3 linked regions of the Macaca mulatta genome follow. The protein of the gene in region 1 interacts with the protein of each later gene in a pairwise test. Links are inferred from orthologs where the notes say so. Each region holds a gene or a part of one and is shown in the gene's direction. Other genes may lie near its edges.

Region 1 (3,510 bases):
GGATGGGAGCTCTGGAGCTATGACCTCCCTTTGCGTCACCAGAGAAAGGAGGGGAGAAGGGGCTGAGCAGTAGTGGAAGTCGGGGAGGCAAGTGCCATGCGAGTTTCCGAGTTTCCAGAGGGCAGGGGCTGTTTGATCCGAAGGTTGGAAAGCTGGGAGTGAGGAAGCTGGTGAATACAATGGCCCCTAAAGGTAGCCAGTGGTGAGGACTTGGACCTTGAGAGGGGTTGGGTCCCAAGTAGAAGTTTCAGGGGATCAGACAGTGTATGTCTGACTGGGGCCTAAAAGCCTGGATCCCTTATTGCGTGGGAGCACAGCTGTATTCCTGAGGGTATCTCTGAGGGTTTTGGGTCTGAAGCTGGTGGTAGTGGCAACTGCAGGGCTGAATCTCTGCTCCCCAATGAAGGCAGTGGCTGGTGGTGTGGATGGCTGGGTCTCTAAGGGGCATTCAGGCTGGGCAGCTTGAGGCCTGAGTCCCCAAAGCAGCATTTCAGGGACTCAGAGGGCTATGACCCTAGGAGGGGCCTCCCTAGGAGCCTTCCCCCGAGGCAGGGTTGGGAGCCAGATGTCCTCCTAGACCAAGACTCTGAGACTCGCTGAGGGCAGGGCCAGGTCTCATCTCCCAGCCCATAGGCCCAGGGTCTGCTCCTTGGAAGATGTGAGTGAATGAGTGAATGAGTGAATGAGTGGCATGCTGACCCCTCAGTCCTCCTGGAAGAGGGGCTTGCACACCTGAGAGGACTGGGCATGGGGAAGAGCTCCAGCAGTTGGGTTCTGTGGGCTGGGAGGTCTGAGTTGGAGTCCCAGTCCTCAGACAGTACCCAGTGACAGCCATTGAAAAATGGCTCAACCCACTAGACAGGAAGGGCGTTTCAACACGTGCTCTGGGGCCTTACAGAGGCCTGAATCTCTGGTACTTTGGAGGGTGAGAAAGCTGGAAGCCTCAGTTCCCAGCTGGGGGATCCGCTGGGGAAGTAGTGGCTGAGAAAACCACTCTGAGATGAAGAGGCCCCCTTATTCTTTTAGTGGGCACAGACCCTTTGGATCATTTTTTGAAAATTCATGTGAAAAACACATATGCAGGACACCCCCCGGGCCCGTCCATGCTGCCTGGCCTCCCCCAGGCCCATCTGTGCTGCCTGGCCTCCCCCAGGCCCGTCCATGCTGCCTGGCCTCCCCCAGGCCTGTCCATGCTCCCGGGCCTGTGCTAAGACCCTGCTCCAAGGCTTCCCTCCCAGCCCATAGTAGGCAAAGGGAACCAGGGAGGAGAGGACGATGCCAGCAGTGACTTTGTTGGCCCTCAGGTTGACCGGAAGAGAGGAAGAGGAGGATGCAGAGAGCCAGGTCACGGTAGGCAGTCCGCAGCACCCCTCCCCAGTCCCCATCCACTCCAAGCCCGCAGAGGCTGAGTCGTTCATTTCAACTCTTCCCAAGCCCCAACCTCACACCCCAACTCCTCAGGAGCAGAGAGAAAAATCATTTGGCCAAGAGATAACAAGGCCCTTGCTGTAGCTAATGAGAGCTATGGCGAGGTAGGGGGAGGCCTGGAGGCTGGTGGGCGGCCAGGCTGCTCCCAGGGGAGCCCCCCAGCCACACACACAGGGCTGCAGCCACCACACCGCAGGCCTTGTAGACATGGCTGCACCCCCGGATTGCATAAATGCACACGCACATGTGCCCACACTCGGGAGAGGTTGGGCTGGCCCTCCCCAGCCAGCCTCAGAACTCCCTGGGGGCACAGTGCCCACAGCCCCCCTGCCTGCAGCCACACAGGCCAGCTCCTCTGCTCCTCAGAGCCCAGTGCCCGGTGGAGGTGAGGATTTCTGTTCTCAGGCAAGGACAGGGAAAGAAACTCGGTAAGGAGAGGTGAGGAGCCCTCGGTTCTGAGCTGAGGAAGGCAGGAGCTGGGCTGGAGTCTGCCTGTTGTGTGTCAGGCACTGTCAGGGCCCTTGGGGCTCTCCAGGGTCCAAACTGGCCAAGATGGCTGCCTCCATGACGCTTAGCTCCCAGCGCCCTGGCCCCGAAGCCCACCTCCTCTCGACATACCACACTCCCTTGCAGAGACTGGGCTCCACCTCAGCTTCCTCACAGCTCACACGGGGATAATCTCTTCCTAGCTCCTAGGGTGGGGAGGAGGGTTAAGGACCACGTCATAAAGGGCCTGGGTCCCTGCCTGGCACAGCAGGTGGTAAAGGTGAACATATTGATTGTGATCGGTGTTCTGTTTTTATTTACTGCCATTATTATTGTCATTCATCATCCTCATCTGAGTCGAAAAGGTGTGGGGGTAGGAAGGCCAGAGACCCATAGAGGTGAGGCCCTTCCAGGGAGACATGGGGGATGAGGCGGCACAGTGAGTGGGGCCTAACCCTGGAGGGACAGCTGGGGCTTTGATCTTTGAATCTTCAGATGAGGTGTTGGAATTAATCAGTGAATTTAGCATAGTTGCTGGGTGAAAGGTCAAAATAAAAAATCAATCATATTTCAGTATAGCAACCATGAACAATGAGAACAATACATTTGTAATTATGCCATTTATAATGGCATGGTGTTTTTGTTTTGTTTTTGTTTTTGAGACGGAGTCTCGTTCTGTCGCCAGGCTGAAGTGCAGGGGCGTGATCTCAGCTCACTGCAACCTCAGCCTCCTGGGTTCAAGCGATTCTCATGCCTCAGCCTCCTGAGTAGCTCGGATTACAGGCACGTGCCACTACACCCAGCTAATTTTTGTATTTTTAGTAGAAACGTGGTTTTGCCATGTTGGCCAGGATGGTCTCCATATCCTGACCTTGTGATCCGCCCGCCTCAGCCTCCCAAGGTGCTGGGATTACAGGCGTGAGCCACCGCGCCTGGCCTATAATGGCGTGTTTTTAATTAGTAAAGCGTCTGCTGATTCTGGCATAGGCAGGAAGACAGGATTCTGCATGAGGCCAGCACAGGGGTGGGCACCTGTGGAAGATGTGGTCTCTGCCCTCGGAGAGCTTACATACTTCCAGAATCCAGTGGAAAATGGAGGTGATGATATTGAATAGCTCACACAGACACGGAGCACTCACTAGGTACCAGGCGCTGTCCAAGCTACTGCCCCCACCTTTTTTTCCCCCCACATTTACTCATTTAGTCACCATGTTAACCCTATGAGGTGGGGACATCCCTGGCCAGCAGATGCGGAAAGAGAGGCACGGAGAGGTGTGGTGACATGCCAAGGACCCTCAGCCAGAGGCTGGCAGAACTGGGAACCCAACCTGGCAGCGCATCTCAGAGAAGTGCACTCACTTAACTCCTGAGCTCCACCACCTTCTGTGTGGTCGCTTATGTCCAGTGGGCTGACCTGAGGACCTCTCAGTCCAGAACCCAGTGCTTCAAATGAATCTCTTTTGTCCTCCCAGGCTGATCTCCCTATGCCTCTAGGAGACCCTCGCCCTGGAGACATCCCAGAAAGCCCTCCAGAGAGGTAATAGGACCCACGGGGTCCGGGAGGGAAACTGGGGACAAGGAAAAACCCAGTAGTGA
Region 2 (4,092 bases), on another chromosome or scaffold:
TCCCAGCCCAAGCCCTAGGGGCCCTCACTGTTGGACCTGTCCTGATGCCAAGCTCAGAGGCACCTATCCTAGATAGACACGGCAAAGCTGTCTTTCACTGTTCCCTGGGTGACCCACACCTGGAGGAGTTATCAGGCAGGGATCCAGGTGATGGGACAGAAGGGGCCAGGGCAGCCACTGTTGTTCACTGCTGGAAGTGTGCCAGGGGACTGGAAGGTGAGCAGCAATCCCACCTGTCTCCTAGAAACCCTGTCCTCCGTGTGTAGGGGCGTGTAAAGGGTGGGCACACAGGGAAGAATCCAGCCCTGGGGCTTCCTTGAAGCCAAGTGAGCAGCCTTCTGGATTTGTTTTCCCACAGTGTCTGAAACTGGGGCAAGTGTTAAGGCAGAACAGAGGAAAAGCAGCAACTTCATGAGGTCAAACCCAGTCTCTCCAGATCTAGGTAGTCCAGCACAGGTTCTGGGAGTAGATGCCAGCTTTACCACTTGATTTCTTTGGTATAACCTTAACTTTCTGCCATCCTTTCACTAGTATTTATTGAGAATCCTCTGCCTATTAGGGCATCAATGCTAAGCAAAAAACGGATTCAGTCACCTTCCTGGAGGTTCCAATCAGTGGGGGAGACAAATTAAACAACCAGTACCCCCCTACCCCTACCCCCACAGAAAGTGAAATGCCCAAGAGATACATAGTATATAATTAGAGAGACTTCACCCTCTCTGGAAGGTCAGAGAAGGCTTTCCTAAAGAAATGATAATGGAGCTGAGGTCTGGAAGAAGCATAGGAGTTTCCTGAAGAACGTAGGAGGGGACACTGCACACAGAGGGAGCAGGACAGTCAAAGGCAGGCCATTTGGCAACAGGTGACTGGAAGGAACTGGAAGAAGGGCTATGAGGCTGAAGCACAGAGTGGATATGCAGGGTCTAGGCAGACCATGCAAGAATGTGGGTTTCTCTTAGAGCAATAGGAAGCCTTTTGAGGTGCTCTTAGCAGGGAAGTGAGATGATCACACTTATGGTTTGAGAAGATTACTCTGGCAGCACAGTGAACAACGGATTGGAATGGAACTAGGGAGCATTCAGGAGGCCAGACAGAAGGTATCAGGTATTTGCCTGTAAAATGGGGGTGATGAGAATACTATCTTACAAGCTGTTGCCAGGATCCAATGAGATACTACATTTTAAGTGTCTATTCCAGTACCTGGCACATAGTAAAGGCCCAGTAAGCGTCGATATTGTTACTTTTATCATTGGTTCTTTGCTGAGTGCACATATTTCTCATCCAGGTCTGCTCCTGTGTGATGGGGTGGAGGGGGTTGTTGTGGTTTCCAGAATGGAAACGTGGTTTGTGCCAAATCACAACGTCGAGACCAGAATCCAGGATGCCTGAAACCTGATTAGAATGGCTTAAAAATATGTATTCAAGAAGAAAAACGGGTTCCAATCGCTCCTACTAAGGACGCTGGAGGGACGGTGAATGATTCTTTAGATGGTAAGTCCTAGTACTTGTTGAGAAAAACAGGTGCTTCTCTGGTCGGAGAGCAGATGTAGGGCTCGCAGCCGCGTGCGCTCCCGCGGAGGTGGGGGACCCTCGCCACTCCCCCGTTCTATGCCCGCCCGCGGGCTTCCGACCGCACCTGCTCCCCCGGCTCGGAAACGCAGGCCGGGTGCCCGGCTGCAGGCAGAGGGTGCCCGGGGGAGGAGGTCCCGAAAGGCTCCTCCACACGCCTGCACCGGCTGCCCCCTCCCCAGTCACGTGGCCCGGTGGGTGGGGACCGACCTGAAGTTGGAAAAAACCCGACCGCTCCCAACTTCGGAGGGAGCCGCCAGTCCTCCGGGCCCGGGCGGTGGGCGCTGGAGCCCCGGCTGGCGGCGTGGACGTGCGTTTCCGAGAAGCCGAGCAGCGGCGCGGGAGGCGGGACTCGAGGCATGGCCTGGCTGTCGGTTATCCCCGGGTCGGCCACGGCGTGGACAGGTGAGCTGGGACCCGCGGCCAGCGGTGGAGATGGCCGGGGCTGCCAGGGCATCGGGCCCCAGAGCCCACACCCGTCCAAGGGATGCGGGGCTCCCACGCAGGAGGGGGCGGTTGGGTGAAGAGGCCGCTGTGGATTCTCGGCCCGCCGGGTCACTCCCACCAGCGCCGCCGCCTCCTCTCCCGCTTTGCCACCGGGTGAGCAGGGCAAGCGGGACGCCAGGGAGCCTCGCGGGGCGTGGACTCTGTGCCGGCCCCGCCCCCCGCGCGCGCACTGGCTGCTCCACGCGGCGTCACACTCGGCTATAAAAGGTGCGGCGCGGGGCCCTTGCGGCCCTGGAGGAGCTCGAGCTCGAGGCTGAGGCTGCTGGGGAGCCGCGGGCGACCGGGCCGCCGGCGTCTCAAGGATGTTTTACTCAGGGCTTCTCACTGAGGGCGGCCGCAAGGAGACCGACATGCGGGAGGCGGCGTCGCTGCGACAGCAGCGCCGGATGAAGCAGGCGGTGCAGTTCATCCACAAGGACTCCGCCGACCTGCTGCCCCTGGACGGCCTCAAGAAGCTGGGCTCGTCCAAGGACACGGTGAGCCCCCGCCGCCGTTCTTGCCCTGGCCCCGGCGGCTTCGCGCCCGCGGTCTTCCGAGGCCCGGCCGTTGCGGCTTTCACTGAGTCACGGCCCGGCCCGCCGCTGCCCTTGGCTCGCGGTCGCTGCGTCGCGGATTCCTCCCCTTCCAGCACCCCTGCTGCGGTTTTGGTGGGGATTCCGTCCTAGCTTTTCAGCTCGCGCTCGCCTCGGCTGTATCTCCTCCCTGGATGTCTCCTCTCCAGAGGAAGGAAGAGGTCCTGCCCTGCCCTCTTGCCCTCGGGTCTTCTTTCTCTCCCCTTATTCTTAATACCGAATTTTGTTCGTGGGGCTTGTGCCTCCTACGCTGTGTGGCTGGTTCTATGACCCAGACAGAGGTGATTCCTAATGACTTCGTGTGAGGGGGAAAGAAGTGGAAAGGGATTTTTTTTTGACAGTTGCCAGATCCAGAAGATTTTTGTTGAATCCATTGTCCCCCTATGCAAAATCCACTTCTCTAGTTTTGGTCCTATGTACCTTTGACCTTCCATCCTGAGTGGGGAGAGAGAAAAGGGGTCGAATGTGAAGGTTTCCTGAACCCCCAACATCTCTTCATCATTCTCCTCTTCCAGCCCCGCCCCCAAGGAGTGAGTAGAGGGAGGAAGCCAGGCTGCTCCATCTTACCGACCAGCTAATGTGTGCATTTGGGGCTGGGGTGGTTGCAGTCTTTTTTTCTAGCACGGTTTTTCTTGGCATTAAGTAGAAGCACCCCAGGACAGGAGCCCTGGGGTAAAAAATGGTACTGTCCTCTTTCTATAGAATGAAAGGGTGACCAATATAAAGAACTGTATCTGTCATCCCTCAGCCTCTGTAGTGGTCCTGGGTCAAGTTTATGTTTAACTTTGTAGTTTTATCTGGAGTTTTCTTGTAGTTTGATTGTTTTCTTGAATTTCACAATCGCTTTGTTCATTTGGGTGGTAATGTATGAAACGCTAATTAAATGCCTTTTAACAAATGAAATAGGTGCTCTGCATAATTTTTCTAGTATTTTTTATTTTAAGCTTTTGAAATGTTTAATTCTGGATGTGGTTGTTAGCTCTAATTCATTGAAATTGCCATTTCTGGCCCCAGGAGGGCAGAGCTTCTGCATCCATTTCCTTTTTTTTTTTTTTTTTTTTTTAATTTAACAGCTCTAATGACACACAGGTACCAGTATAATTTTTCTCCTCCCTGCCATTAGTTGCTTCTTTGCAGGGTTTGTCTACTTCAGTTATCTTGCTCTGTTTTTTGAAAGTTGTGTTTTTTTGTTTTGCTTTGCTTTTTGCACAAGCTGCAGGATAGTTTCCCTGATTTATGCTAACCCAGAGTGATGAGTGATTGAAATGTGCTCCTGCAAAAGAGGTAACTCTCTTTTCCCTTCTTTTACTTTAAAGCAATCTTGATTCATTTAACAAATCAGGTTCGAGAAATATTCTTTCCTTCAGGCCAAATAATCCTATCCTAGTTCCTAGAATGCTCGTCAATCAATAAAGAAGGAAGTATTATATTAAGAGAAGAATTA
Region 3 (4,309 bases), on another chromosome or scaffold:
TACACACTCAGGGGAGGAACACTTACTGGGTGGAACTTCTGCCAGACTTTCAAGAGCAGCTACTTTCTAATGATCTGTAATTCAAAAAACAACCAGAACAAAAACCAGTTGGAAATGCAGTCAAAACATTGCTTTTCCATATTCCTTGCAATTATACTTTCATTTTTAGGTAGTGAGGAACACCAGGATGAACCATTATAAAAAGCATGACTGCAGATGGCCAAGAGTGATACGGACGCACCCTTCACCCTGAAGGTGAAGGTTAAAGCTCAGAGTCTGATTGCAAAGGATAAGGGGGGAAAAAAAACAACAACAAATACAAAAAACAAAACCTGGATAAATGTATGCCGGTGTCCTTCAGCACCAGAAAAAGCTGCTACTAAATCACTGGTGTGGGTTGGAATTGGTAGAGGCTTTGATTTGAGGAAAAGAGTATCATTAGCTGTGTCATTTTGAGTTGTTTTAGAGACAAGGTCTCACTCTGTGTCCCAGACTGGAGTGCACTGATGCGATCACAGCCCCCTGCAGCCTTGAACTCCTGGGCTCAAGCGATCCTTCTACCTCAGTCTCCTAGCTACTTCGGGTCTCTCTGTGTTTACTCAGGCTGGTCTCAAAATTCCTGGCCTCAAGCGATCCTCTCGCCTGGTCCTCCCAAAGTGTTGAAGTTACAGGCATGAGCCACCAATCCTAGCAATAGCTGTGTAATTTGTAAAGTAACAGGCTTCGTACCAACACCTTGCTTTTGTTCACTGTAGTATCCCTGGGGTGTGTCTCATTCCCTGAATCATACACAGTAGATGCTCAATAAATAGTTTTGTAAATAAAATAAATGAGCTCTTGGATTTACCTGCAGACTTTGGATCAGTTTGATCTAGGTTTAAAAGCAAGTGTGGGGAAACTTGAAAAGCCTGGCACCCCAGCCAACTCCTCAGCGCCCCGTGTGCTTGGCGCCTACACCTGCCTGGCACGGGGAGGGTGCTACGGGGCTGCCCTAAACCTCACCCCTTCGGCGGTGGTCCCTGCCCTTCTCGGCTCCTGCACTGCCCACACTATGCGCTGCCGGGCCGAAAGACACGTGCTTCGGTTTTAACCCCTGTCTGCAAGAAATGTGACCTCAGCCAAAAACAGGCCGCTGGTCTGAGAAGAGAAATCATGAGTCATGGATTCGGGGGTTCGGACCTTGGAGCAGGCGGTGAAGTGGGCGTGCGTGGGCTGGTGGGGAAGAGGGCTGCGGAAGGACGCCACAGCCCTTCTCTCCTGGGCAGGATCCCCAGAAAACTGCCCCCTCGCCGTCGTCCAGCGCCCCCGTTCCCGACAGCTGTCTGCCAGGGCGCGGCCGGGGTCCGGGCGGGGCGGCGCTGTCGCTCCAGATCGCCGCCCCGCGGGCCACATCACCAAGGCCCGGGCTTCCCCGGCGGCGGCGCGGCTGCGCTTGCGCGGGACTGCCGCGCGGGGGCGGGGCGGCAGGGAGTCAGGGGGCCGCGGGCGCCGGCGGCCGGGCTGTCAGCTCTGAGACGCCGCGGAGCGAGGAGGCGCGGGAGCAGGAAGGAGCCGTGGGCTGGGAGCCGCTGTCCTCCCCGCCACCACCGGTGCTGGGGACTAGGTGAATGCCCCTTCCATCCCCCGCCCCGGGTGTCTCGGTCCGGTCTGAGGAGACGGGGACCCTTCTCACACCGGCCGCTGCCGCCGCCGCGCTCCGGCACAGGTGACGGTGGAGGGGAAGTCTCGGCTTCAGCCGCTGCACCGCGTTCGGGCGCATCCCAGGTGCAGGAGGGAGGTGGGGCCGAGAGGCCTGGGCTCGGGACCCGGCGGCGGGGGCGCGGGGAGCGGTGGGAGCGGTCCCGCCCGAGTCGCCGTGCCCCCTGCGGACGCCTCCCGGGGCCGCCGGGTAGCGCCCGAGCCCAGGCCCCCGCGCCTGCCCCACATCGGGCGATGGGAAGCTGCTCCGCGGCCGCCGCGGATGAGCGGTCTCGGGCGCCCAAGGCAGGGGCAGGCGGCGGGTGGTTGACTGAGTGATGGCTGAAGGTGAGCTGGGATGGAGATGCTGCGAGGCTGGCTCGGGCACACCCCATATGCCTGTTCAGGGCTCCGCGAGGGCCCCGTCACCCTGTTCTTTCATTCTTCTCTTTATATATATGGAGGATATCTCAATTTTAAAAGCCCAAATGCTCATTTATAGAGAGAGATGACACATATGTATGTGCTACCTATATACATTGATATGTATATTACGTATATATGTCATCTTTTTTTGTAGTGGACAATTTTTAAATTGAGATATACATCACATGCCATAAAACTCATTCTTCTAAAGTGTGGCTTTTAATATATTCACAAAGTTTTCCAAATATGACCACTATCCAGATCATCATCCCCAAAAGAAACCCTGTCTCTCTTAGTAGTCACTCCTCATTTCCCCTTGACCCCACCCCACTAGCCACCACTAATCTACTTGCTGTTTCTGTGGGTTTGCCTGTTGTGGAAATCTCATATAAATGGAAGCGTACAATATGTGGCTTTTTGGTCTGGCGTCTTTCACATACCGTAATGTGTTCAAGTTTCACTCATGTTGTAGTATGTATCAGTACTTTACTTTTTATAGCATATTAATATTGTTGTATCAGTGTACCACATTTGTTTATTCATCAGTTGGTGAACATTTGGGTTGTTTCCAGTTTTTGGCCATTGTGTGTAATGCTGCTATGCACATTTGTGTACAGGTTTTTGTGGACATGTGTTTTCAGTGCTCTTGGGTATATATACCTAGGAGGGCAATTGCTCTGTGTTTAACTTTTTGAGGAACTGCCAAGCAAAGCAGCTGTACCATTTTACATTCCCACCAAGCAGTGTATGAGGGTTCCAATTTCTTCACATCTTCCCCAAGGCTTGTTACTTTTTACTGGTTATTTTTTATTATAGCCATCTTAGTGAGTGTGGAATGGTATCTCTTTGTGGTTTTGATTTGCATTTGTCTAATGAATGGAGATGCTGAGCATCTTTTCATGTGCTTATTGGCCATTCATATATTTTCTTTGGAGAAAATGTCTGTTCATATCTTTTACCCATATTTTAATTGGGTTGCTTGGCGTTTTCTTTTTCTTTACTTATTTACTTACTTATTTATTTATTTATTTTGGAGACTGACTCTCAGTCTGTCACCCAGGCTGGAGTGCAGTGGTGCAATCTTGGCTCACTGCAACCTCCACCTCCGGGGTTCAAGCGATTCTCCTACCTCAGCCTCCCGAGTAGCTGGGACTACAGGCATGCACCACTTTGCCTGGCTAATTTTTGTATTTTTAGTAGAGACATGGTTTCACCATGTTGGCCAGGTTGGTCTCCAACTCCTGAATTCAAGTGATCTGCCCACCTCGGCTTCCCAAAGTGCCGGGATTACAGGCATAAGCCACCGCGGTCAGTCTGGGTTGCTTGGCTTTTTATTGAGTTTTATTGTTCCTTTTTTTTTTTTTTTTTTTGAGACGGAGTCTCGCTCTGTCACCCAGGCTGGAGTGCAGTGGCCGGATCTCAGCTCACTGCAAGCTCCGCCTCCCGGGTTCACGCCATTCTCCAGCCTCAGCCTCCCGAGTAGCTGGGACTACAGGCGCCCGCCGCCTCGCCCGGCTAGTTTTTTGTATTTCTTAATAGAGACGGGGTTTCACCGTGTTAGCCAGGATGGTCTCGATCTCCTGACCTCGTGATCCGTTCGTCTCGGCCTCCCAAAGTGCTGGGATTACAGGCTTGAGCCACCGCGCCCGGCCCTATTCTTCCTTTATGGAAAAAAATTCTATTAATAGGTTTGGATACTGGCACTGACTTGAAAAAAATCCAGCCAATCTGATACTGAAAAACTTAATGCTTACTATTGGGTAAAGGTTGAATAAGTGCCACTTCAGTCTGTAAGAATACCCTATGTGTTCATTCTTGGACATCTTACTGCCCCTTTACATTTACTGCCCTGGTGTTTTGAGCAAGGCTACAGAAGGCATATTCCTGACTGGAGTCAAGAGAGACCACCCTTAATTGGTACTTTCATATATTCTATGCTCAATTTGAAAATCCCTGTTATCACGTTAATTGCAAGTAATTTATATTGGTGGCCAGCTGAACAAACTAACAATAAATGGCAAGAACAAATTACTCAAATTTTTATATGTTTAACTTCTCAGTAAAGTGGAGAATCTTGTTTTCTTAAGTTTGTGCAGTGTAGTTTTTATTACAATTATGTTCATGTGTGGGTGGTAAATAACTATTTTTGATGGCACAAAGGTTAAGAGCCACTTACAGCTAAATGAATGCTGCTGTGCTTATTTCA

What was found. The genes of interacting proteins can lie anywhere in the genome.
Region 2: the proteins of KASH5 (region 1) and NRIP3 interact in binary tests that used the Homo sapiens proteins (3 or more experiments, as listed by UniProt). The two-hybrid records come from large-scale screens. The link is inferred for Macaca mulatta from reciprocal best matches to the Homo sapiens genes KASH5 and NRIP3.
Region 3: the proteins of KASH5 (region 1) and SLC41A2 interact in binary tests that used the Homo sapiens proteins (3 or more experiments, as listed by UniProt). The two-hybrid records come from large-scale screens. The link is inferred for Macaca mulatta from reciprocal best matches to the Homo sapiens genes KASH5 and SLC41A2.

Annotation. Positions count from the first base shown.
Region 1 is NC_133424.1:61,841,089-61,844,598, forward strand, and holds part of KASH5 (protein KASH5), read left to right. Parts: intron 1-1,304; coding exon 1,305-1,350; intron 1,351-3,386; coding exon 3,387-3,451; intron 3,452-3,510. UniProt on the Homo sapiens protein: As a component of the LINC (LInker of Nucleoskeleton and Cytoskeleton) complex, involved in the connection between the nuclear lamina and the cytoskeleton.
Region 2 is NC_133419.1:56,530,405-56,534,496, forward strand, and holds the start of NRIP3 (nuclear receptor-interacting protein 3), read left to right. Parts: upstream 1-1,285; 5' UTR 1,286-1,928; coding exon 1,929-1,974; intron 1,975-2,306; exon of another isoform or gene 2,307-2,378; coding exon of another isoform or gene 2,379-2,391; coding exon 2,392-2,552; intron 2,553-4,092.
Region 3 is NC_133416.1:112,189,638-112,193,946, reverse strand, and holds the start of SLC41A2 (solute carrier family 41 member 2), read left to right. Parts: upstream 1-1,502; 5' UTR 1,503-1,603; exon of another isoform or gene 1,604-1,705; intron 1,706-4,309. UniProt on the Homo sapiens protein: Acts as a plasma-membrane magnesium transporter. Can also mediate the transport of other divalent metal cations in an order of Ba(2+) > Ni(2+) > Co(2+) > Fe(2+) > Mn(2+).